Struthio camelus: one gene and its partners. The protein of the gene in region 4 purifies or fractionates together with the protein of the main gene of each other region. This does not show direct contact. Links are inferred from orthologs where the notes say so. Each region holds a gene or a part of one and is shown on either strand. Other genes may lie near its edges.

The links. The genes of interacting proteins can lie anywhere in the genome.
Region 1: the proteins of SNRPA1 (region 4) and CDC40 purify together in Homo sapiens (affinity purification with mass spectrometry; 3 studies listed by BioGRID and IntAct, counting the BioPlex papers as one, with this or other methods). This does not show direct contact. The link is inferred for Struthio camelus from reciprocal best matches to the Homo sapiens genes SNRPA1 and CDC40.
Region 2: the proteins of SNRPA1 (region 4) and DDX46 purify together in Homo sapiens (affinity purification with mass spectrometry; 3 studies listed by BioGRID and IntAct, counting the BioPlex papers as one, with this or other methods). This does not show direct contact. The link is inferred for Struthio camelus from reciprocal best matches to the Homo sapiens genes SNRPA1 and DDX46.
Region 3: the proteins of SNRPA1 (region 4) and U2AF2 fractionate together in Homo sapiens (co-fractionation; 3 studies listed by BioGRID, with this or other methods). This does not show direct contact. The link is inferred for Struthio camelus from reciprocal best matches to the Homo sapiens genes SNRPA1 and U2AF2.

What each region holds. Positions count from the first base shown.
Region 1 is NC_090944.1:60,428,984-60,436,065, forward strand, and holds the start of CDC40 (pre-mRNA-processing factor 17), read left to right. Parts: upstream 1-4,079; 5' UTR 4,080-4,121; coding exon 4,122-4,346; intron 4,347-7,082. UniProt on the Homo sapiens protein: Required for pre-mRNA splicing as component of the activated spliceosome. Plays an important role in embryonic brain development; this function does not require proline isomerization.
Region 2 is NC_090954.1:4,147,739-4,154,613, reverse strand, and holds the start of DDX46 (probable ATP-dependent RNA helicase DDX46), read right to left. Parts: upstream 3,004-6,875; 5' UTR 2,828-3,003; coding exon 2,811-2,827; intron 60-2,810; coding exon 1-59. Other genes in the region: guided entry of tail-anchored proteins factor CAMLG, read right to left, coding at 5,981-6,172. UniProt on the Homo sapiens protein: Component of the 17S U2 SnRNP complex of the spliceosome, a large ribonucleoprotein complex that removes introns from transcribed pre-mRNAs.
Region 3 is NW_027182594.1:221,143-228,349, reverse strand, and holds the start of U2AF2 (splicing factor U2AF 65 kDa subunit), read right to left. Parts: upstream 3,004-7,207; 5' UTR 2,912-3,003; coding exon 2,863-2,911; intron 2,196-2,862; coding exon 2,060-2,195; intron 1,936-2,059; coding exon 1,906-1,935; intron 1,791-1,905; coding exon 1,687-1,790; intron 1,565-1,686; coding exon 1,413-1,564; intron 707-1,412; coding exon 590-706; intron 480-589; coding exon 341-479; intron 1-340. Other genes in the region: CCDC106 (coiled-coil domain-containing protein 106), read right to left, coding at 5,285-5,601. UniProt on the Homo sapiens protein: Plays a role in pre-mRNA splicing and 3'-end processing. By recruiting PRPF19 and the PRP19C/Prp19 complex/NTC/Nineteen complex to the RNA polymerase II C-terminal domain (CTD), and thereby pre-mRNA, may couple transcription to splicing.
Region 4 is NC_090953.1:4,274,769-4,282,358, reverse strand, and holds the start of SNRPA1 (U2 small nuclear ribonucleoprotein A'), read right to left. Parts: upstream 3,012-7,590; 5' UTR 2,932-3,011; coding exon 2,850-2,931; intron 1,877-2,849; coding exon 1,729-1,876; intron 1,203-1,728; coding exon 1,124-1,202; intron 212-1,123; coding exon 165-211; intron 1-164. UniProt on the Homo sapiens protein: Involved in pre-mRNA splicing as component of the spliceosome. Associated with sn-RNP U2, where it contributes to the binding of stem loop IV of U2 snRNA.

The DNA.
Region 1 (7,082 bases), on a different chromosome or scaffold from region 4:
TGGCTGAGAGAAAGGCTGCAGCATGCATTAAGATGTTAGATGATCCACAAAAGGAGAAGAACATATATGTTCCAAGCAGGAAAAAAAAAATCCATTAACACTTGCAATCATCCATGAGATTTTTAAAAAAAAAAGAAAAAAAAGAAGTAAGAAGCCAAGGCTTCAGACTTCCTATGTTCAAGGAACTAACTACTCTTTTAAAATAGTTCTTCTTTCTTCACCTGGGTGGTACTTGATATAGTATTCACCACCAGGAGTAGTAACAAACAAGTGCCAAATAGCCCTTTTTATATGCAAAAGGGCTGTATAAAGGAAAGTGATTTTTATCTCCCTTTGACTCTTACTTTCATTTCTCCAAAGTGACTGCAAGGAGAAACAGCAGTGGAAAAGCTGGATGGAAAGAAAAGCCAGGAATCCCAAATTATCTGCCACTCATTACTTCATGCTGTTTCATTCAGAATAGGTTTCATCTTTATGCAAAACATATGTTTTCTAGTCCCTGATTAAAAGGAAACAACATACTTGCAGTGCATAAGGATCAATGAGAAGATTTTTTAAAAAGCTGTATCAGTCTTTTGATTTGCTTGATATCAAGCAACCCTTTCCTAAATTCACAAGTATTCACTTAATATCTGCTGTGTTAAAATATCTAGATACAAATGGCAAGCAGTAATTCCACAGTTTTTTTTCAATAAAAACTAGATTTTAGACAATCTATGTATAGTACCCATCTATACTTTTCTTTTTCCTAATTAAAGCACAGTCAACTCAGTATTTCATACTAAGAAATTACAGCTGAATGCTTGGAAAAAGTTAATCTTGTCTACAGTTTAAGCAAATAGAAGTTTTATTCAGTGAAGTACTGTCTGACTTCTTCCAGGCTTACTTATATACTACCCTGATGGTAAGAGAAAGGCAACTAATTTAAACCAGCAAGCGACTCCCATAGGCTGTACAATGACAGCATCTAGAACCTCATATGATCAAATTTTACTCACAAGCAATGTAGGATATCTGGACATGATACAGTTTAACATACGTAAGAAAACTATCAAGCTCTGTCAACTGAACATTGCGATTCAAGGATAACAAAGCACAATCAAGACATTAAATTAATCACTCTCAACACAATTCTCAAAATAAAACATTATCGACTGGTTGCACAAACAGATCTTGAAATATTTCACTTTTTCGGAAGCGCACCTTGCAACTTCAGACAACACCCAGAAGCTGCAAATCAAGAAGAAAATAAGGAATGCAGTCAATATGGTATCAGCTAACAATTACCAGCAACAAACGAATCAACTACAGTGAAAGATCCACTTTTGATATTAATAAAGCTATGATTCATGTGAAGTTTCATACAGCTTACCTCATTTACACATTCATCATCCATGTATTTTGGATAAAAAGGCAACTCATAATACCATCCGAAATACTAGTCAAACACAGCATACTTCAGCTGATGGAGATGCAAACAAAGGAAAGGTCTCAACGTTGAAAACACGGGACTCTTGCCTAAAACCCTTACTAAGTCATTTTCCTAATCCTGATTCCGGCATGCAAAGAAGAGGTACACCTGTGTTTAATAAAAACAGATCTAAATACAGTACACTTTGCTTCACCCCTACAATACAATGAAGATTTTGTGATTTCCCCTTAGGTTTTATCCTGTCAACATTTTTTAAAGAATTCAAGTTATTTCTTCTCAAGCTAAGGCATTTAGGGGTGTGATTACCAGAAAGGACAGTAAATGAAATTAAAGCATTTAACTTGTAGATGTCACTATGTGTCCACTCCAATTCTGAAAAAAACACGCAACATGAAAGGAAGTCACAGGTACCTGCAATATACTGCTTCAGGTGCGACTACATGCAACGTATACGCCTAATGTGAAAGTGGAAAGCCGGCATCAGCGAGCTGTACTTTCCATTTATTCTGTCCGCAAGCGAAACGGGCAGAGAGAGAGGCGTTTTGCTGTCTGGAGAAGTTGGAAGCTACATGCTTCTCGGGGTGGCGTTGCATGCTCTTCTGCTACCAGCCAGCCGAGATTTCCAAGACAGCTGAACAATGGTAGCAGTGTTTCAGCAGGCAGATTTGCAGTGAATTTGATCGAATCCGCTCGTCTTCAAAAGGCAAACCGCACGCAGCTCCATCGCATCCATCCCCACCTCTTGCCCTCGGTAGCCCCAGTTACATAAATTAAGCGCAGGCAGCCGGCTCCGAGCACACCTCTGCTCAGACCCGCACGACCCGCTCGCACCTGGCTGCGGGTGACGTCATCCCTCTTCCCCCCACACAACCGCCCCAACCGCCGACCCCAGCCGCGCGGGGGTGAAGGGGGGGGGGAGGTACCGTCCCTACCGAGCGCCCCTGCCCTCTCGCCGCCTCACGGCGTCTGGACGGCCAGGAGAGCGTCGCGCTCCGCCACAAGCGCGGCCCCCTCCCCTCCTAGCGGTGGGGAAGGGGGGGCTCCGGAGCCCCGCGGACGCCGACAGGGGGCCCGCACCTGGCCGGGGAGGCGGGCGCGGGTCCCTTTGTGGGGCAGGCACGTCTCTCGCAGCGCCAAGGGAAGGCGGGCGGGCGGGCGGGCTGCCGCCCCGGCGGGGAAGGGAAGGGCGCCCGGCGGCGAGGAAGGGTCCCGCCCGTCCGCCCTTAGCCTCACGGGCTGAGGGGAAAGGGCGCGGGGGAGCGGGGAGGGCACTTACTCGCCAGCGCGCGCGTGTCCCGGCTCCCGTGCGCGGCCGCCCCTCACACCTTCATGCCGCTCGCCTCAGCCCCTCTCTCCGCCTTCTCTTCGCGCTGCCCCCGCGGCCGTTGGGCGCTGGAACTTCAAACGGCTCCTGCCATTCTGCGCGCGCCGAAGCCGCTGGCTCCGCACCGGGGGGCCGGGCGGGGGGGCGGGGGAGGAAAGAAGGAGGAGGAGGCGACGGGGGCGCGGAGCTCCCTCGCAGGCTTCACAATAGACACAGAACAGCGTGTGTGTGTGGGAGGAGGAGGGGCTTCTCCCCCAACCCGCCGAGGCGGGGAGGGAGGGCTGTTTACCCGGCCGCCGGCGCCCCCCCCCTCGCCCGCTCCTTGGGTCTGGCCGGCCTGTGCCCACGCGCCGCCGCCGCCCCACGCTCCGCGGCGGCAGGCAGGCAGGCGGGGAGCGGCACCCCGAGCCTCGCGCGCACCGCCCACCCCGCCGGCGGCAGGTGGTACGGTCCGGCCCGCCAGCCCCGTCTCTCTAACAGGGGGAAGGCGGAGCCCGGCATTGTGACGTACACAAAGCCGGCTCTTCGCAGCCAATCAGCGTGGGAGGGGCGGGGCCGAGCGGCGGCGGCGGCCGTGGCGGGCGCCGCGGTGCTCGGCGGGCCCGTCCCGCGGCCGCCGCAGGTGCCCCCAGGCGGGGAAGAGCCCGCCCCGCAGTTACGTTCCCCCGAAACGGTGGTGAAAAAGGTCTTCGTGCGGGAGAGGATGTGGTCGCCCGCGAACTGCTGCGCCCGCTCTGTGGGAATGTTTTCTCCTGTCGTTACGTCAGGCGCAAGCAGATGTAAGAAAACCAACCGAGCAGGGGGCTGTAAGCTCCTTCAGGGATGTTTCTGTACGCACTGGAGGCAGCGGGTGGCTGCGCTGCGCTGCCCACGGGCAGCCGTGCTCTTCCGGGCTGCAGCTCTTACCCCGTCACCGTCATCAGCGTGTTCCTTGGGAACCGCTAGGAGAAGCCCCCAGTCCCTCGTTTCCCCGGCTAGTGAGACGCTCTGACTTCCCGTGACCAGGAGGCAGGACAGCGGCGGCGGCGGCGGCGGCGGCACGCACCTACCTACCTACCTACCCACCTTGCCCGCTCGCCCGGCCGCCCTCCCCGGCAGCGGCGGCTCCGCGGGGCGTGCGGCAGATGTAGTCCCGCCTGGGAGTCCTGAAAGGTTAAACATCAACAACAAGCAGCGAGAGATTAAACCGCCCCCCCCCCCCTTGCCGACAGCCCGCAGATAACGGTAATTTATCTTTTAAAACGTATTGGAAGGTTTTAATGAGGCACCTGTTAACGGCCAGCCCCACCCGCTCGTTCCGCGCGGGGCGGAGGCGGCCAGAGGCGCTGCCAGGACCTGCGCGTTCCCGTCATCCCCCGCGCCAAGATGTCGGCGGCGATCGCCGCGCTCGCCTCCTACGGCGGCTCCGACTCGGAGCCGGACTCGGAGCCGGAGGCCGAGGGGGGCCCGGGCCGCGCCGCCGCCACCACCACCACCACCGCCGCCGCCGCCGCCGTCCTGGCCAGCCGCGACGCCGTGCTGCACCTCCGCGCGCCCCCCGCCGCCCCGCCCGCCCTGCCCGTCGACTCGGCCCCGGAAGTGGCCGTGAAGGTAGGCGCTGCCTCCCCGTCGGCCTCCAGCGCCGCGCCGCGCCGCGCCGGGCCGGGCCGGGGGGCAGCGCGCCCCCCGCCTTGGCGGGCTGCTCCGGGCCCGTGGGACGGGCCGGGGGGGTCGCTGCCCTCCGCCTCGCCTCGGCCTCACGGCCTGCAGCCCGCCTGCCGCGGCAAGGCCCCCCCCCCCCGCTCCCTGGGGAGGCCTCGGGGCTCAGCGGGGCGGGTGCGCCAGAGAGCCTGGCGGTTTGGGTCGGTTTGTTTGTTTTTTAACTGTAGCGGCTAAGCTTGTTAAAAGGCGTTATTGCTGTTTGAAAGCCGTGCCTTGCTTGGAGTTCAACAGATATCCCTGTCTCTTGTTGCGCTGGGTTGAACATGCAGCGTTTTTCTGCGTGGTTTGCCCAGGTGCAGGGGTGAAACGGATACCACCTTGACAGGCTTAGTGCAACTGAATCCTCTTCTAAGAGCAGTAGTGAAAGCTGATCGGTATTTCTTTTTTCACTCTAATGTTGCCTGGGAAAGCAGAACAGGATTGTATTGGCTCCTTTTTGTGACCAGAGAAAGAGGTGGCGGGAGGTGTTGGCTTGGTTTGGGGTTTTTTAGTATGGACAATTTGTTTCTGATCTCAAGTGTGTAGCTCACTGTAGGGAATATTAATGTAATATCATGCTGCTTCCAACTAAAACGTTCCATACTTTGTGCTAAACAGGCAGGTAGAATTCTTCAGTTTGTTGTCCTCAGTCAATGTATGTGCTATTACAGATGGTCGTATTTGCGCGTGCATGTTGTTGCACTTATTATATGTGTGTTTTATTATGCCTTGAAGTCTAGAAGTTTGTAACTTCTTGATTTGCAGCTTTTGGCAGACTGTCTTGCATGAGATTTGAAAGGAGCGCTAACTGATATCTGTAATGTCTTTTGAAAGTGAAGGAGGATAAGTGTTGGCTGTGCTCTTTGTTCTTCTAAGGCTGCAGCAACAGGTTTCCCCTTTACTGTGCCAGCACAAACATTTATGGAGTTATTTGGTGAATGAGATCAGGAAACTGATGTGGCTGAAGAAAATAATTTTTCACTTATTGCTCCTTTGGATCAGATCCTCAATGCAGCTCACAATGTAGCTGCGTGAACACTGTCCCAGTACAGTTAAGCAGCCGTTGCAGCAGTGGGAAGAAGAAGCTGGGGGAGTTAGCTGTGTCAATAGCTTATCCCATTCAAAGTTGTTCACCAAACTATGCTCTGACAGGGGAGGATCCGCCAAAACCTCTAGAACGGTCTCTATGGGTTCTGCTACCCAGCTACAGAAATGTTTCATTAAAATGTTGTATTTCACTTTTGTTTGAAATCATAGATGAGATGCATATAACTAAAAAGATCAATTACTTCAAGCTAAGGCTTACTGAATACTCAGTGTACTGGAATTTCTGTTAGCACCACAGTCGCCTTTGAGAAGAAACAGACAATTTCTCTAAAAAGTGATATCAGGCCTTTTTTCCAGACTTGTGTTGCTCAAGAAAGGATCAGTGGTCTCAAGATCGTGGACAACGTGATCTCGGTGCCTTCCATGTCTAAAAATAAGAGTGATCCACCAAAAAAAAACCTGGAAACTTGCTGATCGTCCCCTTAGGATTTTTCCCAATTCTTCAGGATTGTAATTTAGCCGTAACTGAACAAACATAGAAGAAATGATGCTCGAGTGTAGGTCTCAAGAATTTTCTCAGTGCTGCATTAGAAAAACAGCAAGTTGAGTGAGGAGGAAGGCAGAGTTACAGTTCATTAGTATGGTTTTCCACTTGTGCAAACATTGTTTTGACATGAGTAAGGATCGAGTACGCTTAAATGTGTGATTATATATTACACAAGGGACCAGGAATGGAAATAAGGGAGGAGGGGATGCCATCCTCTAAAAGAAAGGATAGCAATAAGAGGGGAGGCTGGGAGGGTTAGTCATACCGGTCAATATGAATGACAGCCACGTTCTTGTGTGTGGCTTTTTGGCAGTTAAGAATATAACTCTTGAGTAGTTGGTGCTCTGCTTTCTAATTCTAATCGTCGTACCTGTTTCTGGTTAGTTAGTCTTTTCAGCCTGTTTACTTGCGTAGACTTGAGATTTGGATGTACTTTAAGAGGAAAAGGTTCCTAACTATTCGCAAGGCATAATTACTACCACACCAGCCACAGCGCTTGGTTGCTGGTGTTAGTTAAATGTACTTATCAAACATAGCCCTCAGATGGTACTCCAAGATGTAGTTCTTTATTCTACAAAAATCAACTGAGTTCTTGCCTCTAAATACATCATAAATATAACTGAGATCTATACTAATGAGTTGTAACTGTGTTTTTAAAATGTGAGAGGATGGCTTTTGTTACACCCTCTTACAGTGTGCTTGTTATGATTTGTCTACTGCTGATCTTGATGTTAAATTTACTTATATTAAATAAGATTGAGTTATAATTATTGGTCACTTCCATCCAGTCATACTTTTCTTTTAATTAACCTGTATTAGGAAAGCTGAATTAAATGATTGTATAGATTTCTACTGATGTCCCTCAGCTCCTGTGAAGTACTGAACAAAATGGTAGTGTCTTGAAGACAGCAGAGGAAGAAAGTGCACAATTCTGGTCCCCTTGTCACAGTTTGGATGTATTAGAACTGCAGAAAGTTCAGAGAAGGACAGCAGGGTTGATCACTGGGGATGTACCACATCAGTATCACATCAGGGATGTACCACTTCTGTTT
Region 2 (6,875 bases), on a different chromosome or scaffold from region 4:
AACGACTTCTAGAACGGCTACCAGAGCGTCCACGTGATGCAGAGCGCTTCCGATAATGCCTGTATTGTAAATTCATAAAAAAGATGAATGCGAATATGAGAAAAACTAGCAGTTAAAAGATTTGTCATATTTACTTGGAGAGCAAAAAAAAAATCACTTAATTTCTTTGATTTATTCACTTTCTAAACATTTTTAACATTCTTGCAAAAACGATTAATGCAAACATATTCCTAATGGTGTCAAAATTGGATGGATTACTTGGTCATATTTTTCGTTGGTTTTTGAGCTCTGATGTAACAGCACTATGAGAACACTGGAACATCAAGAAAAATAACTGCCCCTTTAGAAATCCACTGATTGTTGTTACATGCATGAAAAGCCTACAACTGTTTGAAGGTGCGTCATCAAATTTGTCAAACAGGTAAAACTAATTTTTGTCGCTTTTCACCCAAGTAAGCCAAGTAAGTTATACCTCTGTTCAAGGGAAAAGTGGTCAAACTGCAACTAAAGGAACATACGTGATGCAGCAGTGGTCAATTCCTTTATGATGCTGACACCAAAAGAAACTCCATAACGCCATCAGACACCTCAACGCAAGCCTCAAGAAGTTAGCAAGGCTTTCAAGGGTTGTGGTGGAGATGGGCATCTCTTTTTCGCCCTCCACTAATGCTCTCTTATCCCAGTCAAACTGGGAGAGGGGTTTGGGCTAGGAGCTGTTCTCAAAACTCTTCACCTCAGCGTACAAGTTACAGAGGGACCTCTACGGGGACCATCTCCTCTTCCTCCCTCCCTCATGCTCTGGTAGTCCGAGACCACAGACCCTTTCACCCCACCAGCCTGGTAGCAATGCGTCGGAAGCAGGAAGAAGCAAAGAAAGCAAGACCTCAAGCCCTTGACTTCTTTCCTCCCTTTTCCTCATTACCACATAGGGTTATACTACAACCGTATCGGCACTAAAAGTAACACAGTTCATTTCCGTATGTTGGTATATTCAAGTATCATACACGTTTGGAATCACAACAATATCAATGCGTTGCCTATCAGCAGTACAACTGAACGTGCAGGACATCTGTCAGCATCAGGTATCTCCGATTTCTTCCTCATCTCTGTCACTAAAATGCTGCTCCACATCCCGCCCCCTCCCCACACCCCCCCCCCCCCGGTATTTGGTATGTTTGTTTCTAGAGTGTGCAGTGAGGCTGGTATCTTATTTCAAGTCTCAAAAGCTCTACCTTGCTGACCATTTCCTTCAACAGCAATTCCAGCACATGCAGCCCACCCCACCCTTCTCCACCCACCACTCATTCTCACTCTCTTACCATCTCTTCAGTTCTACTTAGAAGATTCTGTTTTCAGGCAATAAACTAGAGAAATAACACAAATTAAACTCCACTTTTTTAGATTATTCTTAGCCAGTTGTTTGGTCCAGCTCATTATCCAAACCCACAAACAGAAAAACGTGTGTACGCATCAGGGCCTGGGAGAAGCGGGGCCTGCAGGACCTGCTTGTAAAAGAATTATTCCTCAGAGGCCTGCGGCCTCGTGTGATAAATACGTTTCTGCTCAGCATGACCTCAGAGCCCGACAAAAACTGGCAGCACTATCAGAAGAGGAGCTGAACTGTGCCAAGCGAGGGAGCCCCGCCGGCTCGAGCGCCAGCAGTTTGGAGCTGGGTCCCCAGCAGATACCGCGTCCCGTGCGAGCATCGCAGCCAGCAGCTAACAACCGCTCAGCTAACTAGTCTGAAACTCACTCAGCTGTATCTACGGGAGCCGTGTTCGGTCGCTGCCTGAAACACGCGTGCACCCTTTTCTCAGCGACGAGGGGCTGTGACCCCGGAGGCAAGTTCCATAGGGCTTTTATTAGACGAGCTGACACAACAGGCCAAAAAGGACAAGGTTTTGAGTCCGCAGCTCTTCTTTAAGTACACAGCTCTGCAGTGAATCGCCAGTTTGAACCCATGACGGTACTCAAAATTTCAACTCGTTTGCCTCTGTCAGGCGGGATCTAAGTTATGAACCTAGGATGTCTTCGCAGTGTAGGGACGCCAGCAGGTAGGGACACAAAGTATGCATTTTTATTGCGTTGCAGTTTCAGCGATAAAACCCCTATAACTAAGCTAATTAAGCTAATTAACCAGGAGTAAACTAAACTAGTAGTCACAAACTGATATATGTTATAAGAGCACTTGCAAACTACTACGAGGATTTAAAACCTGGCAGGCTTAGCACCAGCTCTGAACCGCTCCGGTCTGCTCCGAAGCACCGAGTCCGCGAGCGCGTTACTGCTGAGCCGGTTCAAACACCTACCGCGACGCTTATCCGAGCTGAGAGAGGACAAAAGATACGTGACCCGGCGTGAACTTAAAACGGAATATGGAGGAGAAAGGAAAAAAAACAAAAAGAGCTAACGGGGAATAACGCCTGCCAGGTGAGGGACGTGGCTCTTACTGTTTGGAAGCGAACGCGCGCAGGCCAAAGGGGCGTTTGGTGCCGCTCGGTTACCGCGACCCAAAAGGCGGGTGTCGCTCCTCGCCGCCGGCCGCAGACCGCGCCGCGGGCCGCCGCCACCAGCCCGGGCGGGCGGGCGGCGTGGCGACGGCAGCGCAGCGCAGCGCAGCGCCGTCCGGTCCGGTCCGGTCCGGTCCCGACCGGTCCCGTCCGGCCCGGTCCGGCCTGTCCCGCCTCAGCGGCGCGGCGCGCCCGGCCCAGCCCAGCCCAGCCCAGCCCAGCCGCGGCCCTTTGTTCCCCGCGCGCCTCCCGGCCGCCGCCCCGGGTCTGGCCGGGCCGCGACGCCCCGCGCTGCCTCACCTGGACTCCCGGCCCATGGCGGCGGCGGCGGCGGCGCGAGCCCAACGCTAGACGGCGGCGGCCATTCCGCGCCCCCAGCGCCCCGGACGACGAGAAGCGCCGCGGCGGGAAGCGGCCTTCCCCCCCCGACACACACACCTTCCTGGCCGCCGCCGCGGCGCGGCGCCCCCTGGCGGCCGGAGGCCGCGCCGCCGCCCCGCGCGGCAAACGCCGCTTCCGGAGCCCGCTGGGAAAGCGGCGGCGGCCCCCGATTTTCCCCTGTTTTAACCCAACCGGGGCAAAAGGTCCTCGGGACACGCGGTGGCGGCGGCTCACCGCAGGGGCCTGGCTGCCCCGCTGATCACAGCCCTCACCTGCACGCTCTCACCGCCGGCCAAAAGCCAAAGTTTCCGGGGGCAGAATCGATTCACGGGAGGGCCGGAGCCAACGCCGCCTGCCACCCGCGGGCTTCGACGCCCTTTCTTCTCATACCCTCGAGGCTACAGCCCGCTCAGCCGTCGGCCAGCCCTGCTGTGACTGCCCCTCTTAAGAGGCCGTTGACAGCTGACACTAAACATAAGCGACAAACGCGAATTACAGGGGAGAGGCCCACGGCCGGCGCAGCGGCGAGGCTCGGGCGCGGGCTCCCGCTGCTCTCAGGAGGGTCAAAGCGTTCCTGGCGGAACTACCAACTCGGCACGCGTTTAATAAACCGTGACTTTTACAACAAAGGATGGTAGGCCGACAGACGAAATGAAGAAGGGGGGGGGGTAACAAATATATTTTTAATAGAAAACAACCAGTTTAGCAATAAACATTAAATAGAATTATGTACATAAACAAAGGTAAGCCAAAACGGGGAAAAGGAGACTCATTTCTTGATCAAAGGCAAAGAGTAATTTAGTGAAGTCCCTGCTGGCTCTATGTATATTCACTTAAGAGACAGGAAGACCATATTCCAATCCCATCTTGAACAGTTTGTCACATAAAACCAGGTGTTTTCAGACTGAAAAGTTCCCAGATTAGGTCTCGTAGCAACATTTCTTTCACCACTTGAGAGAATAACCTGCTTAATCATTTTTTATGCAAAAGGATTCTAAAAGCGGCTGTGTGAAAATACAATAAGGCAGGTGGGTCACCTGCTTTCTTATTAACTAGCTGATCAGGATTAAAATATTTGTGCTCAGGACTAGAAATTCCGTGCTTTTTGCAGACGCTAGTACCTGGTATTTTCGAAATTTATTTGTCTTTACATTTGGGCATATAAGCGAAAGAATAATTTTTGAGCAAACTCATTACTTACGTATTTCAACCTTAACTTAAATGTCAGCTATTTGAACCTGCTGAAACTTTTGTCTAATATTTAGCCAGAACCTTTTAATATCTGTGCTAATAGACCTAAGTCAGAATCTTTTACAGCCCAGACCTGGACATCTGCAACAAGATATTCAGTATAAAATAACAAGTAAAAACTGAAAGCGTCAAATCCATAACGAAAGCTTCTTCTTTTCATGCCACAAACACATATCTGACTTTGGAGTCAGAAATGCAGTGCTAAGATTACAGCAGGCAGCTTTAACAGAAACGATTAAGCAGAAAGCAGAGCCATTTATTTTAAACACACACAATGAGTTTTGCTCCCTAAAATGTATGCAGCTATCACCGTAACTAGGTGTCTCTCTACACTTAAAAAAAAGACAAATATTAGCCTGGATTACCTGAAAGTCCCAATTCTAATAGGAAAACTACAAGCTGATGATAACATCAAGTTGAGATTCAACATACATTTTTACAGACTGTCAGCATGAAAGGCTGGCTATTTGGAATGAAGCCACCTTCCTCTCACTGTATTAAAATCTTATAGGACTGAAACAAGACAACACTCACTAGCTTGCTACTTTTCCCAGTTGTAGGATTCATTTGTATTTGTTTTCTTTTTCACCTATGGGGCTGCACTCCCACAGGAAAATTTAAGATGCTATTCTCCCATCAGACATTGATTTTTCTGTGGGAATTGGGGAATTTCAAAAACACAGGACAGAAGACAGCAAATCAGTTAACATATAAATAGCTCTGCTGAATGAAAGAGTATATGCCGTTGGCTAGTAGTACTATTAAGCAGCAGGAGCAGAACTCCTAGGCAACTGAGATCCTGTTTACATGCAAATGTCTGGTAATAAACAGAGAAAAAAATACAGAAATTAATGTCACATTCAAAATCGTCTTATGCAAACCTGCAAGGAGCTAGAAAAACAACAGTTCCCTTGTAATTTTTACATATACGGAGCAAATGTTTTATACTGCGGGTTGCTTGCCAATATATACATCTTTCCCTGCATGAGGTAAACTATTGCTACAAGAAAAAAAAAGGGGGGGGGGGTGGCGAGGTTGAACGAAAACACTGGTATGAGCTATGCTAGGATTAACAGGCTGCCGGAAACTCACAAACAGTTGAGATGAATTTCGTTTCTTTCTACTTTTGATTGATGACACTTGTAGACCAAAAGGAAATATATATATATAATATTTGTTTTTGCTTAGCTGTTTTGCACTAGAATCATCAAATGAAATTCATCACAATCACAACAAATTTATAGCAAGGCAAGGATTAGGAGAATGGAGTGGCATGTTTCACCAACATTCTCCAGAAGCAGCTGCTTGCCTCAGCATTCTGAATTGGAACAACAGAATATAGGGATTTCTTTTATTTAGAGCTTTTGTTAAGAAAATGGAAGTAACACAAACTGAGCAGAGCTTGCTAGCTACAGCCGTACTGGATAAATATATATATATATATATATATATATATATATACACACATACACGGTTCTGTTGAAAATTGATCCCTTCTTTTTGTTCTCTCCACAAAAAACAAAGGTAGCTTTGTAAGTGTTTATGAAGGAGGGTGAGAAGGGCATCATCTAACAAAACAAAATATATCTACTGACACTTGCATCCTATTCTTCGTATTTGTAAGAGGCAGACACAGAATATAAATAAACTGCACTAACACAACTGGCAGCCTGGGACCCTGTTCTTCCATTCCCAAAATGACTGGATTCAAGGCTCCTTTCAAGCATTCAAACCAGTAAGAATTTTAATTAAGGTTTAAACCTGCTTGGACAGTCAGATGTTAAAGGAATACAGAACAGAAAGCTTTCGTGTAACTACTGCATTGAGTTCTACAGCCATCAGGGTACTTCAGAACCAAAAAACACAGAAAGTTCATGGCAGAAGATAAAAGTAAAGAAATAGACACAAAGGTCTGTGAAAACGTCTCCCATTTTGCTGTAGGTGTCCATGGAGCGACTAATCACTTCCGCTGGGATTCCAGATAGTAAAAGAGCTGCAGTTAGTACTGTCGTTTTCACCTTCTTTTCACACTAAAAGAAAAAACAATATTAAGTTAGTTCTTCTGTTATAATCCAATTCTGCTTTAAAGACTGCATATGTTGTGCTAGTTTCACCCACAGCCAAGCGCATTCCAAATCCATGGGTAAGAGTGGCAGGTTGGGACTGATTCTCTCCAGGATTCACAACACATCCTAGCTAGAGATTCAGGCTATGATGGATCCAATGGAGCTGAGTGAGAGTCCGGTTCACAGCAGATACAAGTCCCCACGGGCACTATGCCTACTTCACGCTGGCACAACAGACTGTAAAGCGTGGCTATGCAGCTGCCCCAGCATGAGTGGCAAGAGTCCCAGACAAGGGAAGCTCAGGTGCGTGAACACAAGCCAGGCATCTCCACTTGCTGAGCAGGATTAACCTCATCACACTACTTGGCAAAAGAAACTGCTACTTTTCTAACATAGAAATATGATTTAGAATTGAAAACCAACTGCTCCTTTCTCATCAAGTACGACTCCATTTGGTAGTTTTAGCCTCTGAACTCAAAAATCTCTCTAAAAGCCCTTCTCAAAGCTGCTTTTCTGTCCATAAGGTAAGGCCGTGTAGGAGCCTGAAGACGCAAAGAGGTCGGACAGGCAGGCAAACAAGTTTGAAAAGCAGTTCAAAGTTTTAGCAATTTAAGAATATTTGCTGGATATCTGAATATGATCCAATCTAAATTAAGCATTCAAGAAT
Region 3 (7,207 bases), on a different chromosome or scaffold from region 4:
CCCCCCGGATGGGGGCCGAGCGGGACGTGAGGCCGGGGCGACCCCCAACGCCCCCCCCTTCTCGCCCCCCCCGGATGGGGGCCGAGCAGGACGTGAGGCCGGGGCGACCCCCAACGCCCCCCCCCTTCTCGCCCCCCCCCGGATGGGGGCCGAGCGGGACGTGAGGCCGGGGCGACCCCCAACGCCCCCCCCTTCTCACCCCGCACCCCCGGATGCTCCCGCCGCGGCCGCCAAAAGCCCGTTTGGCGGCCCAAGCGGCACCGGGCCGGCCGCAGCGGCGGGTAGCTGCCTCCCGCCGGACGGGACGGGGTGACGCGCGCCCCGGTCCCCCCCCCCTCACCCGGCACGTAGACGGAGGGGTTCTCCGACATGCCGGGCAGCGGCTGGTAGTCGTGGGGCCGGCGGATCTTCAGCGACTGCCCCTGGAAGATGATCCCGTCGAACGCCATGGCCTGGGTGGTCTCGTCCACGGAGCGGAACTGCGGGGGGGGGGGGGCGGAAAATGGGGGCGGCGGTGAGCGGAGCCGCCGGCGGCGCTTCCCCCCGCCGGGGGGAAAAGGCGGGAGGGGGACGGCAGAGCCGCGCTCACCTCCAGGAAGGCGAAGTTCTTGTCCTGGTTAATCTGCACGGCCAGCACCGGGTTGCCGGGCGCCTGGGTGAGGCCGCCGAGGCGCATCTGGGCGTTGAAGAAGTCCATCATGGCTTCCTGGGGGGGGGGAGAGAGGCGGGGGAGGCGCGGTGACGCCGGCCGGCGAGACCCCCGGGGCCCGGCGAGCCGACCGCGCGCGCGGAGACGAGAGCGGGGGGGGGCCGGGAAGCGGGAAACGACCTACTTGCCTGGTGCGGCGGTAGCAAACTTTTGTGCTACGAGGGATTTCAGCCCCACAATTTCCACTTTAAAAAGAAATGGAAACAACTCTTTGATCTTGTTTTTTAGGCCGAGAGTCAAATTCAAAATAAATAAAGGAGAGAGAAAAAGAGAGAGAGAGAGCGATGGCGAGAGAAGAGCAGAGAACGGAGCAGGGAGGGAGAAGACAGAGAGAAAGAGCAGAGAAGGAGGTGGCTTCCAGCGCTAGCCGCTGCGTGGGGCTCCGCTCCCGCGGGCCACGTCCAGGAGACGTCCGGAGGCGGCGTGATCCCGCTTCCGGGGCCGGACCCTCTTCCGCTCGCACACAGACCCGGGGGGGGGGGGAGGGAAAAGGGGGAAGGGGGGGGGGGTTCGGCGCCGAGACCTGACCCAGCTCGTGTCGCGGATGGCTCCTCCAGGTGGCCGGCGTCATCCCTCGGCTGCGCCCGTCCGCCTCCCGCCGCCCCAACGCCCCGCTCCCGAACGCCCGCCGTCGGCCCGCGCTCCGGCTGGGGAAGCGGCGGCTCGGCCGGCGCCGGCGGCGGCCCCCCCCCTCCCCGAGTACCTCGGTGATGCCGAAGGGGATGTTGCCCACGTAGAGGCGCCGCGCCTGCCGCGTCATCTGGCTGCCCACCACCGGCACCGGCGTGGGGGTGACGGCCAGCCCGTCCGGCGTCATGGTGGGCAGCAGCGCCGTGGCGGGGATCTGGCCGGCGGCTGCGGGCGACACCGGAGAGCGGGGCGGGGGGGCTCCGTCAGGGCGGCGGCTCCCCCCCGGAGCGCCCCGAGGAGCGCGAGGAGGAGGAGGAAGAGGAGGGGGGAGGAAGGGCGGCGGGCACCTTGCATGGCTTTGTACTGCATGGGCGTGATGTGCTCGAAGCCCGGCGGCGGCACGTCCCAGTACTTGCGGATCTTCTTCTTCTTCTCGTGCCGGGGCGAGCGGCTGCGCGGGGGGGGCACGCAGGGGTCGGGGGGGCGGCGGGGAGACCCCTCCCCAACCCGCGCCGCCCCCCGAGAGCCGCCGCCGCCCCCCCCCCCCCGCGCCCACGGCCACTCACCTCAGGGGACCCGAGAGGCTCAGGGGCGACCTGCGGGCGGAAGGAGAGGCTGTTGCGCTCGGCGCGGGCTCCGAAAGGGAAGCGGCTCCCCCCCCCACCCCGGGAAGGGCCCAGGCGTCCGGGTGCCCCCCCCCCACCGCCGCCGCTGCCGTACCTGCGCCGCCGGCGGTCCCGCGAGACGCTGCGCTGGTCTCTGTTCCGCCGGTCGCGGCTCCGGCTCCGGCGCTTCCGGTCGCGGCTCCGCGAGCGGCTGTGGCTGCGCTTCCGGTGCCGGTTCTCCTTGTCACGCTCTGCCGGCAGTCGGGGCGCAGGGGGATGCGTTGGGGGGGGGTCGGCAGCCCACCCCCCCCCACGACCCCTCCTGCCCCATTTTCCCCCCCCCCGACCCCACACCGCGGCGTTCCCGCAGGCCGGGAGGAGCCACGTGCGCCGGGCGGGCGGGGAGGGGGGGATTCGGCCACGGGGAGTCGCCGACGGCCGAGGAGCCGCCCCGGCGCCCCCAAAACAAAGACGGGGGGGGGGCACAGACCCTCCTTTTCAGGGGGGGCCCACGGGGACCCCCATCCTCCCCCCCCAGCAGCAGGGACCAAGAGCCCCATGGGGAAATGGGGGGTTGGGGGGGGAGAAGAGACCCCCAAAATGGGGGGCAGCCATGGGGGGGGGAAGCGGAAGAGACCCCTTCAAGGAGGCCCCCACATTGAAGGGGGGGGATTTAGGGATCCTCAAGAAGGAGATTCATGATGGGGGGGAACCCCCTCAAGGGGGGGGGAGAGACCCCCCCCAAGGGGAGGGTTCATGGTGGGGGGGGAGCCATGGGGGGGTGCGAGGACCCCGTGAGGGGCGTGAAGAGGGGGTGATGGGGGGTGAAGGGGGGGTGAAGGGGATCCCCCCCCCAGACACCCACGGGGGGGGGGAGGGGAAAGCCAGGCCCGGGCGCCCCCCCCACCGCGCCGGTACCTTGTTTGTTCTCGTTGAGCTGCCGCTCGAACTCGTCGAAGTCGGACATGATGGCGACGGCGATGGCGGCCCCGGCCCCGCTCCCGCCTCGGCCTCGGCCCCGCTCCCGGCTGCGGCTCCGGCTCCGACCCCGCGCAGGCCGCGGCGGCGCCTTCCCCCGCTCGGCAGCGCTCGGCCACTTCCGGCCCCGCGCTCGGCCGCTTCCGGCCGCGCTCGGCTCCCTTCGGCCGCGCTCGGCTCCCTTCGGCCGCGCTCGGCTCCCTTCGGCCGCGCTCGGCTCTACCCGCTCGGCGCTCGGCTCCCTCCGGCCGCGCTCGGCTCTATTCGCTCGGCGCTCGCCTCCCTTCGGCCGCGCTCGGCTCTATTCGCTCGGCGCTCGCCTCCCTTCGGCCGCGCTCGGCTCTTTCCGGCCGCACTCGGCTCTTTCCGCCTCCGCTCGGCTGCCTCCGGCCGCGCTCGGCTCTTTCCGCCTGCACTCGGCTCTTTCCGCCTCTGCTCGGCTCTACCCGCTCGGCGCTCGGCTCTTTCCGCCTGCACTCAGTTCTACGCGCTCGGTTCTACCCGCTCAGCACTCGACTCTTTCCACCTGCGCTCGGCTCCTTCCGGCCGCGCTCGGCTCTTTGCGCCTGCGCGCCGCTCTATTCACTCGGCGCTCGGCTCTTTCCGCCTGCACTCGGCTCTTTCCGGCCGCGCTCGGCTCTACCCGCTCGGCGCTCGGCTGCCTCCGGCCGCGCTCGGCTCTATTCGCTGGGCGCTCGGCTCTTTCCGCCTGCGCTCCGCTCTACCCGCTCGGCGCTCGCCTCCCTTCGGGCTCCCCCCACCGCTTCGGCTCCTTCCGCCTCGCTGCTCCGTCACTTCCGGGCGGGACCTCGACGACTTCCGGGCGGCGGCTGCGCCGCCGCCGCCGCCGCCGCCGCCGCGCCCGCTCCTCGCTCCGCTCCCCGCCGCGGCGACCGGGACCGGCTGCCCGTGAGCGGCCGCTCCGGTCCAGCTGCTTCTCCCGCCTCCCCCCTCCCCGAGCGGCTCCCGGCGGGCGGATCGGCACCGCTCCCAGCCGCGACCTCGCCGAGGCTCCCTCACTTCCGCTTCCGCCCAGGGGCGACTTCCGGTCCGCCAGCCCCGCCCACCGCCGCTTCGGCAACTTCCGCCGGGGGGGCGGAGCCAGCGCGCGCGCACGCGCGCGGAGGGCAGCGGCGCTTCCGGCCGCCAGCGGAAGTGTCGTCACGGGCAGGCGGGAGCCGCACGTGCCCCCTGGGCGGGGGGAGCCCTCGCGGTGACCCCTGACCCCGGTGACCCCTGACCCCGAGGGTCCCGGTGACCCCTGACCCCCCCCAACACACGGTGGGGAAAAGACACAGCCGGAAACGTCGCTTTTATCCCAAATCGCCGCTTTCTCCTCTGTCATGTCAAGTCTCTGCCAGAAACCGGTTGTTTTTGTACATTTTTCTCTCCCTTTTCCAGGGTGTTTTCTTTTTTTTTTTTTTCTTCCTTTTCCTGCTTTTTCCCTGGTCCAGGTGACGGGGGGGGGCAGAAACGTCACTGACACCGAGCTGGGGGGGGGCAGGGGACCCCTCACCCCCCGGGGGGGCCCAGGCTTCCGGGGGGGGGGGCTCCTGGCTGGGGCCCAGGTGTCCGGGGGGGTCTCTCGGGGGTCCCCAGTGTGCTGGGGGAGGGCTCCAGGCCAGGTTGGGGGGTGGTTTGGGGGTCTGGGAGGGGGGCCCAGGCGTCCGGGGGGCTCTCGGGGGTCCCCAGTGTGCTGGGGGGGGGCTCCAGGCCAGGTTGGGGGGTGGTTTGGGGGTCTGGGAGGGGGGCCCAGGCATCCGGGAGGGGTCTCAGTGCTCCAGGCCAGGTTGGGGCTGGGCCCAGGCGTCTGGGAGAGGGTGTTGGGGCTCCAGGCCGGGTTGAGGGGAGCTGGAGGGGGGCCCAGGCGTCTGAGGGGAGAGTCTTGGGGCTCCAGGCTGGTTTGGGGGGGGCTGAAGGGGGCTCCTGGGGGGGTCTGAGGCATCCAGGGTGGCTCCTGGGGGGGTCCCAGGCATCCAGGGGGGGTCTCCTGGGGGGGCCCAGGTGTCCGGGGGAGGCTGAGGGGGGCTCCTGGGGAGACCCAGGTGTCCAGGGGGGTCCCAGGCGTCCAGGGGGAGGTGAGGGGGGCTCCTGGAGGGGTCCCAGGTGTCCGGGGGGGGTCTCCTGGGGGGGCCCAGGCATCCGGGGGAGGCTGAGGGGGGGTCCCAGGCATCCAGGGGGAGGTGAGGAGGGCTCCTGGGGGGGGTCCCAGGCATCCGGGGGGGCTCCTGGGGGGGCCCAGGCATCCGGGGGAGGCTGAGGGGGGCTCCTGGGGGAGTCCCAGGCGTCCGGGGTGGGGTGCAGGGGCTCCAGGCCGGGTCGGGGGAGGTGGGGGGGCCCAGGCGTCCGGAGGGGGGGCCCATCACCGCTTGAAGCGGTAGGTGATGGGCAGCAGCAGCTTGCTCTTCTTGAGGGCCTGCACCTTCTTGAGGGTCTCGTCGTCGAGGGCCAGGAAGCAGCGGCGCGAGTACTCGAGGAGCCGCTCCTTGGAGGGGTCGAACTCGCCCACCTCGGCCAGCTTCTCGGGCGCCACGATGAGCAGCTCGGCGATGGGCGTCGTCAGCGCCACCGTGTTGCGGTCGACGCGGTGGTGCTCGAAGGCCCGGCTCATGCTCTTCAGCTTCTGGAACGTCGTCAGGATCTTCTTGTAGCGGCACAGCACCCCGTCGGCGTCCTTCACTGCCCCCCGGGCGCGGGGCCCCAAGGGTGGGGACGCGGGGACGGGTGGGCACGAGGACATGGGGACAGACGCGAGGACGTGGGGACGCAGGCACGGGACGGACATGAGGACACGGGGATGGAGACGAGGGGGACGAGGACATGGGGACAGATGCGAGGACGTGGGGACGCAGGGACGGGACGGACATGAGGACACGGGGATGGAGACGAGGGGGACGAGGACATGGGGACGGACGCGAGGACGTGGGGACGCAGGGACGGGACGGACATGAGGACACGGGGATGGAGACGAGGGGGACGAGGACATGGGGACAGATGCGAGGACGTGGGGACGCAGGCACGGGACGGACATGAGGACACGGGGATGGAGACGAGGGGGACGAGGACATGGGGACAGACGCGAGGACGTGGGGACGCAGGCACGGGACGGATATGAGGACACGGGGATGGAGACGAGGGGGACGAGGACATGGGGACAGACGCGAGGACGTGGGGACGCAGGCACGGGACGGATATGAGGACACGGGGATGGAGACGAGGGGGACGAGGACATGGGGACAGATGCGAGGACGTGGGGACGCAGGCACGGGACGGACATGAGGACACGGGGATGGAGACGAGGGGGACGAGGACATGGGGACGGACGCGAGGACGTGGGGACGCAGGGACGGGACGGACATGAGGACACGGGGATGGAGACGAGGGGGACGAGGACATGGGGACAGATGCGAGGACGTGGGGACGCAGGCACGGGACGGATATGAGGACACGGGGATGGAGACGAGGGGGACGAGGACATGGGGACAGGACGGACACGAGGACATGGGGACAGACGCGAGGACGTGGGGACGCAGGCACGGGACGGATATGAGGACACGGGGATGGAGACGAGGGGGACGAGGACATGGGGACAGACGCGAGGACGTGGGGACGCAGGGACGGGACGGATATGAGGACACGGGGATGGAGACGAGGGGGACGAGGACATGGGGACAGGACGGACACGAGGACATGGGGACAGACGCAAGGACATGGGGACACGGGGATGGAGACGAGGGGGACGAGGACATGGGGACAGGACGGACACGAGGACATGGGGACGGACGCGAGGACGTGGAGACGCAGGGACGGGACGGACATGAGGACACGAGGATGGAGACGAGGGGGACGAGGACATGGGGACAGGACGGACACGAGGACACGGGGACAGACACAGGATGGACAGGGACATGGGGACAGACGGGGATGAGGACACGGGGACAGGGACAGACACGGGGACAGACAGATGCGGGACAGAGAAAGAGAGAGACTCCGTCACGTCCGGGGTCCCCTGGGGAGGGACAGGGACGGGGGGTGGTGTCCCGGGGGGGGCCCTGGTGTCCCCAAGGGGGGCCCTGGGGGGGGGTCCGCATGGTCCCTGGGGGTTTTGGGGGGGTTCCACTGTCCCCAAGAGGGTCTGGGGGTGTTAGGGGGTTCCCATGGGTCTTGGGGGGGTCCCAATGTCCCGGGGGGGTCCCTAGGAGTGTTGGGGGTCCTGGTGTCTCCAAGAGGGTCCCTGAGAAGTCCATGGGGGTTTTGGGGCGTCTCTGAGGAGTTGGGGGGGTCC
Region 4 (7,590 bases):
CCATGTATTCCTGAAGTCTAGGGGAAAAGCTGTTCATTGATTCAACTTTTAAGCATAAAGAACCTGTTCCAGCCCAGAAAAAGGAGAGCATTCCAGATTGAAATAAAGAGCTAGGCCAATAGGGGAGTACAGAAAGAATAGCTTTTCTTTTCAAGATTACATACCTCAGATAAGTCAACGTTTTAATAGTTGATAATGGATCCAGTTCACCCTACATAATGGGAAAACAGTACGAAACCTTAAATCCATTTAATGAGAACAAAGTCCTTAAAATTTTAGCAGCCTTTACTCTGACACACAAGCAGTGACAAAAAAAAAAACCCTCACATTCATTTCAAGCTTACTTTTTGAAAACACTGGCAAATAGAGGAGTATTTGTACTACTAGATGTGACAACTCTACTAAGTCAATAATGTTTCAAGTAATTACACTGTACACAATTTAAGACAGCCAGCTGCCCTTAAGAGTCTTGACTGCCACTATGAAAAACATACATTCAAAAAATATGAAAGAAAAGAAACAGCAACAAAGTAAGCTTCAGTCTTAACGCGGAAGTAAGAGATAGAAAACTGTAAGCAGACATACTAGCTATTAACTCTGTTCAAATTCTACATAAAAGACTCAGATCTGCCTAACTTTTGTGAGTATAACAATGCAGTTACAAAGAAGTTACACGAATGCTCTTTGTTACCTATTATGTAACTCAAAGGGAGACTGTAAGAAATACTGTGCTTGAGATTCCTACTTTGGTATAAGTGACCTGAAATAAGTTTTAAAAGAGTATTTCACTTTTTTTTTTGAGAATCAGAAACTTTCCTTCTTCAGTTCAAAACTAGAGCTAAAAATATTTAATTACAAAGTAATGAAATCTCTTTTCTCAAAGCTCTTCCTAGAATCTCATATCCATTTTAGAATTACTGCAATTAATTTAACAGGAAAGCCACTAAGATTTTGAAACTACTGTTCCACTGCATGCCACACATCATATTCTGTAAAATAAATACATCACAACTACTACTAAAATGATATGATATTTTTCTAAATAGAGGAAAAAGGTTATTATAAAGATGGCATACATATATAATTTAAGGTTGTTAAGATTCGTTCAGTACTCATAGCTTACCAATTCAGCAATGTTATTGTTGGTAAGAACGAGCTCCCTGAGACAGGGTAAGGCCTGTTCAAGTCCTTCACCGATCCGACTAAGGGAGAACAGAAACCAAAGGTTTATTAAGGTTGGAAACTAACAACAGTGCAAAGACGCATAGAAAGACTGTAATCTAGAGTACCTAATTTTAAAACAACCAAGTCTGACACTATCAGAAGTTTGGGTTGGCATCAACATAAAAACATTAGATGCAACATATGCACGCACTTGCAGGTATCCCCAGTCTCCCTAGGACAGCTTGATTTATTTTTGCTATCGCCTAAGCACAGGGATGACAAATGAGCTCCCAAGTCTCTGGCTCTGGGCAAATTCCAAGTTCTACCTCCTACTGTCCTGTCTGAAAGACGAATACTGATCTTGGACAGATTTTTGCAATGCACGAAGCAGGCAAATTGAACAGGCCTTCAAGAGTACTCCGTGCTGTTGGGTGCCAATTTCTTTCATTGAAACAAACAGGTCTTCTACAACCACCCGCCACTGAAAGATGGACACACACTCGGGATTCTTTGCTTCCCTAGAGCATTTTCCACTGCCCATCTGGCTGAAGTACAACCACTTACCAAATTCTGTTGTTATTCATCAGAAGAGTTTTCAGCCTTCTCAACAGAGGGAACCCATCCAGTTTACGGATCTCATTGTCAGAGAAATCAATTGCATCGAACTGGTCCAAAGTGGCACCCAAGTTCTCAATAACAGGGATTTTATAACCTTGGGGAGAAAGCGTCAGACAGGGGTTAGATGGCATCTGGACAGCACAACAAAGCAAAGGTCCCTCTGCCCCATGGCCCCACCACCGCCGCCCCTGCAGCCCCTCTGTCCCACGGCTCCCGCCCCATGATCCCTCCGCCCCACGGCCCCCGCAGTTCCTTTGCCCCACAGCCCCCACCGCCACAGCCCCTCCGCCCCACACCCCCCACGGTTCCTCTGCCCCACAGCCCCTGCCACCCAGGCCCCTCCGCCCCACACCCCCCACGGTTCCTCTGCCCCACAGCCCCTGCCACCCAGGCCCCTCCGCCCCACACCCCCCGCGGTTCCTCTGCCCCACAGCCCCTGCCACCCAGGCCCCTCCACCCCACACCCCCCGCGGTTCCTCTGCCCCACGGCCCCCGCCACCGAGGCCCCTCCACCCCACACCCCCCGCGGTTCCTCTGCCCCACGGCCCCCACCACCGAGGCCCCTCCACCCCACACCCCCCGCGGTTCCTCTGCCCCACGGCCCCCACCACCGAGGCCCCTCCACCCCACACCCCCCGCGGTTCCTCTGCCCCGCGGCCCCCACCACCGAGGCCCCCCACCCCACACCCCCCGCAGTTGCTTTGCTCCACAGCCCCCGCCTCCACAGCCCCTCCGCTCCACAGGCCCCACCGCCACAGCCCCTGCCACCGAGGCCCCTCCGCCCCACACCCCCCGCGGCACCACCATCCCACGGCTCCCGCCGTTAGGGCCCCACGGCCCCCGCGGCCCTTCCGCCCGACGATTCCCGCCGTCAGGGCCCCGCCGCCCCACGGCCCCCGCCGCCTCCCCCCCACAGACCCCCCCAGCCGCACCTGCCACCGCCGGCCCTGACAGGCCCCTCCCCCCCCCCGCCCCGTTACAGGCCCCGGTCCCGCCGTAGGCCCCGGCAGCCCCCCCAGGCCCAGGCCCTCCCGGCCCCGGTCCCCCCCCCCCTCCCCGGCGCGCACCGCGCAGGTCGAGCTCGCGGTCGCGGACGGCGTTGGTGTACTGCGCCGCCTGCTCGATCAGCTCCGCCGTGAGCTTCACCATCCTGCCGCCGCCGCCGCCGCCACGCCGCCGCCGGCCCGCGCGCCAGCCCCGCCAGCCGAGCGCCGAGCCCGCGAGCGGGCAGCCCCGCCAGCCGAGCGCCGAGCCCGCGAGCGGGCAGCCCCGCCAGCCGAGCGCCGAGCCCGCGAGCGGGCAGCCCCTCCTCCACCCCCAAGATGGAGGCCGGGGCAGGGAGGCCTGCGGGGCTCGGCAGCCACCGGCCCGCCGCCTCCTCAGCGCCCCCGCGGCGTCCCCCCTTTCCCCGTCTCCTTGAGCACCTCGCGTCCTTACCCGCGCTCCCCTCTGCTCGCAGCGCCCTTCGTGCGCCGCCTCCTGGCGGGGCAGCCCTGGCCGCCGGGGCCGCTGCGGGCTCCCGTCGGCGCCTCCTCGGCCCGGGCCAGCGATGTCCGGCCGCCGCCGCCTTCCCCCAAGCCTCCGCGGGGTCCCGCTCCCCGCCAGGCCCGGGGCAGGCCGGTCTCCCCGGCGGTCTGGTTCCCCTTTGGGGCAGGGCGAAGGGCAGCCGAGCTGCGGGGTCCCCCCAGACGCCGAGTCGGGGGGCAGCCGGCCGCGGCGCCCGGCGCTTTCCCGGACGAGCGGGGAGCTTGGCTCTGCTGGGCGAGAGGGGAGTCGCCGCGGCCAGCGGCGTCCCAAAGCGGCGCGAAGCCGCTCACCAGAGCTTCCCGCCCGGCGGCTGGCGTTTCAGGGCACGGGGTGACTCGGCGGAGGTCCAGGCCTCGCGCCGGGGACCGAGTTGGCGCCTCGGTGTTTAGCCGGCGGCGCTGCGCTCGTGGGAACGTACGCTGCTCCCTTCCTGCTCAGCAGCCGGGACAGCGGCCCGCGCTGATTACAGCGCCGGGTGTAATTTCTCTCCTCCGTCCAAGCGGCAGCACCAGCCCGCGCTCCTGAACGCAGGGTTGCTCTTAAGTGCCTGCGGGCTGCGGCGTTCGCTGTGGCTGCTCTGGCGTTTCCACGCACCTTCCTGCTCTCACCAAAGCCAGGTCGGGCTGGGAGCACCCCGCGGGATGCTCTGCCCTCGCCTTTGAGACAAAACGCGCTTTGCACGCCTCGCCGCCCCATCCTGCCCTTAGCTGCCTTAGGGATTTGGAAACCGGTGAGGAAGAGCTGGGGTAGCCCCCGGGCTCTGCTTGTTGCGGCCCCGTGCAGCGAGCCGTGAGGGCAGCTGCCGCGTTGCTGAGTGCCGGACCTCTGGTCCGACGCGGGGCGGCTGCTCTTACGCGATGAGGGGACGGTGCCCGGGCCGGCCGCGTGCCTGCTGCACCCTCGGGGCCTTCCCCGCGCTTTCTCCTTCGCGGAAACGCCGCCCTGGTTGCTGTTCCCCAGCGCTGCCGGCGCAGCTCTAAGGGTGACCCGGGCCGCTAGGTCCGACCTGACGCTGGGCTGGCTTAGCGCTCCCGAGCGGCGCCAACTCCAGCGGTCTGGTGCAGGTCTCGGCTGCCCCAGGCCAGTCCTCTTTGAGCTGGGCCTTTGCATCAAATCCGCCGTCTGGCAGCGGGAGAAGGCGGCGCGGGAAGGGAAGTGGTTGAGCAGACCCCAAATCCTGCGGTCATGCGGCCACCGCTCCTGCGGCCCCAGGGACGCTCCGACCCTCCAGGCTCCCTGAGTCAGGTGAGGCAGAGTGATTTCTGCATCCCTTGCTATCTAGGGAAGGATTTTTTCACCAGCTGTGACATTTCTGTGAACTCGGGGGATCTGATAGCGGGTTAAATGCTGCAGTCACGTTTGGTACCACACCAGCTCTTCTTTTGGGAGCCTCTGGCACCCTCAGCCCGTGCGTGATGCCTGGCTCGTTCCCCCTGATTACGGCGTCAGAGCTGGCTCTGTTCGGGCTGGGGTCAGGCAGCTCCTGTGCACCCTACTTAAAACAGCCTCCTTGCTATCTGTAACTGATGCTATTTAGGAGAACGTATAGTCAGGTGTTCATAGCATCTGCATTTCCTCAAAATACGTTCGGAGAGAAAGAGCAAGAGAGATGTCATAGGAAGAAAGAAAGAATTAGTGGCACTTGTGGTAGGTGACTCAGGAATCACGCAGTGGTAAAGACAGCACAGTCTTGAGTCATATCAGGCACTCATTAAAAGCAGATTCAAGCTCCTGAAAAGCAGGTCCTGCCTCTGACAAGGCTAAACAAAATGTGGACCTTTCTGCCGTAGCGCTGTGTAGCTGTATTACACCTCAGCCTTGCAGCTGCTATAGGCTGGAGAGCAGAGAGGTTCTTGGCTTCAGATGCTGTACACGAGCTCTTAAAAGCCCCTTCTTTGTAATGGAAAGTCAAAGCAATGATTTTTAAGATGTGTGTTCCCCACTTGCTAGCTATGAAACAGCAGAGGGCTGTGGATGCGCCCTCGCAGCCAAACAGCAAACGAGGAGTCAGGCTACTCTAAGAGGTTTTTCCAGAAAACAGCTATTATAGATTTGTCACTGGTGCCAAGAGACAAGAGAGAAATGTGCTTTAATAAATTGACTAAATAGGCATTTATCTGGAAGACACAGCCACTTTGATCCTTTGAGCATACTGATGTCAGAGGGACTTTAATAGCTCTGAGCAAACACTGCAATAGCTTGGATAAATAATCTGAATTTTATTACTTTCCAAGAATGATTTCTGAGGGAGTTAGATAATGCCCTGGGAAATACTGGAAACTGATTTTGTTGTGTAAGCCAAACTGTGCAGAATTTGGTCCTCTTGGCACTGTCCACCATAGACTGGGATTCATAAGGGCAGCGGAAGCAGGATAAAGCTGAGACCGCTGGGGACCGGTCATCTTAAATTGCATTGCTTCACCCAGTATGTATTTTAAGTTATGCCAAGGATGTAAGGGTAAACATCTTTTTTCTTTTTCTTTTCTTTTTTTTTAGCATTTCAGTACATCTAAATATACCACGGAACAGTATTTAGAGGCAGCCACTGTGAGCCAGAGAACTGAAAGCCAAAGCTGACACAGTACTCTTCATTCACAGCTCCCATTTCTGACTGTATGACACAGCAACAGAATTAGAAGTTTTTCATTTTACAGCCTAAATGGCAGAAGCCAGAAGCATTTCACGCCACTTCTGACCTCTGGTTTGGCCCAAGACCAAAAGCGGGATGCTGGAGCAACAGAAAGAATCAGGATATGCAGTAAACCATCTCATTAGTTCACGCTTATCATCTGATAAACGTGAAGAACTAGAAGACACACAAGCCCACAGCAGCACAGCTCAGAGAGCACCTTCCCTTGTGGGGGGAAGGTTCATTTATTTTCTCTCTTCACACCTATAAGGCTCGATTCCAGATACCCAGGGACTACCCTGGGCACCTGGCCCCCGATTAAACATTGCAAAACCAACACAACAAACAAAAGGCTCCAGAGCTCCCTGCACTCCCTGACACCAGCATCGCCTCCCCTTTACCAACTAGCGGAAGGGGGAAGGTGGGCCCCGAGGGCACCAGCTCTGTGCTGGGACCAGGGATGTGGCGGGGGCTCGCGGGGGCCGCGGATGGGTGGGAAAGGGGAGCGAGCCCCTGTGGCAGCCAGCCACAGGCAGAGCACTGCCTGTGCCGACAGCCTGCGATGCTCCGTGCGGGATACAGCCCTCCGCGGCTGCGGAGCTCGGGCTGATCATGCAATATCAATGCTAATAATGAAGCAACGACAGCGTCAATACTACTTGAGGGCTCTGGAGATCTGTGACTACGGGGGACATTCAGGAGGTGCATTTCTTCTGAGGGTAAAAGACCTTTATGAGAATAAACGTGTCTAAGTTTTTGCAGATGCAGTTCATAAGCAATCTTGCCCACAGATGCTCTGGGGCCGATCAGGAGCTCTGAGCAGGACAGCTTCCTTGTCCAGTAAAATAAAGACACGTGGTGCGTCACAGCCTTCACCTGCCTCTGGTCAGGGTGGTGGCTGCGCTGAATTTGGAAAAAGCACAGATTCCTTTGTAAGGGGAGATCAATAGTTTATTAACTTAAAGGTCGGTTCACCAAAGCTCCATCTTTACTTGGTTCTGGTCCACTCGGGTTAGGACCGATGACAGTTTGGCTCTCCCCTCTTCACCTGGCCGAGATAAGCTCTAGTGGGCAAGCCCAGGCAGGGTGCGTATCGTTGCAACCAAAACCAAGCAGGGATTATCCCAGCTCCATAAGGAACTGGTGATAGTTTGTACTGTGAATTTCACTGGCAAAAGGTTTAACTTGTTAAAACTATTAACAATGAAAATCAGGTCATGCAGCAGAGGAAATAATTGTTTACATATGTCTAGTGAAAAGAGCATCTCTGCAAGGTTGGAGAGAGGCTGGAAAGAGCAGAAGGACGTAAGACAAAAGATTCCCCACTCCCCATACAAAAAATAATCTACAGAGAAAAACAAGGATTGTATAAGTTATTTTTTAAAAAATCTGTAAAACAACATAGCCAAGGATATTTTAAACACAATTATATAAACACCACATGATGTACTATTAAGAGAGAGCATGAAAAGGTTTGTTTTGTGAGAGGGTTTTGTAGAATTTAGAGTTTCCTGGCTGGATCCCTGGAATATCTCCTTTCGGAAACAGATGCTCAAGAAAAATCACTGCCATGAATACGAGGATTTTTTGAGGGAGACGAGTATTCCCACCAAAAATACAGGAAGGATCATAATACAAAATACTGGAAGATA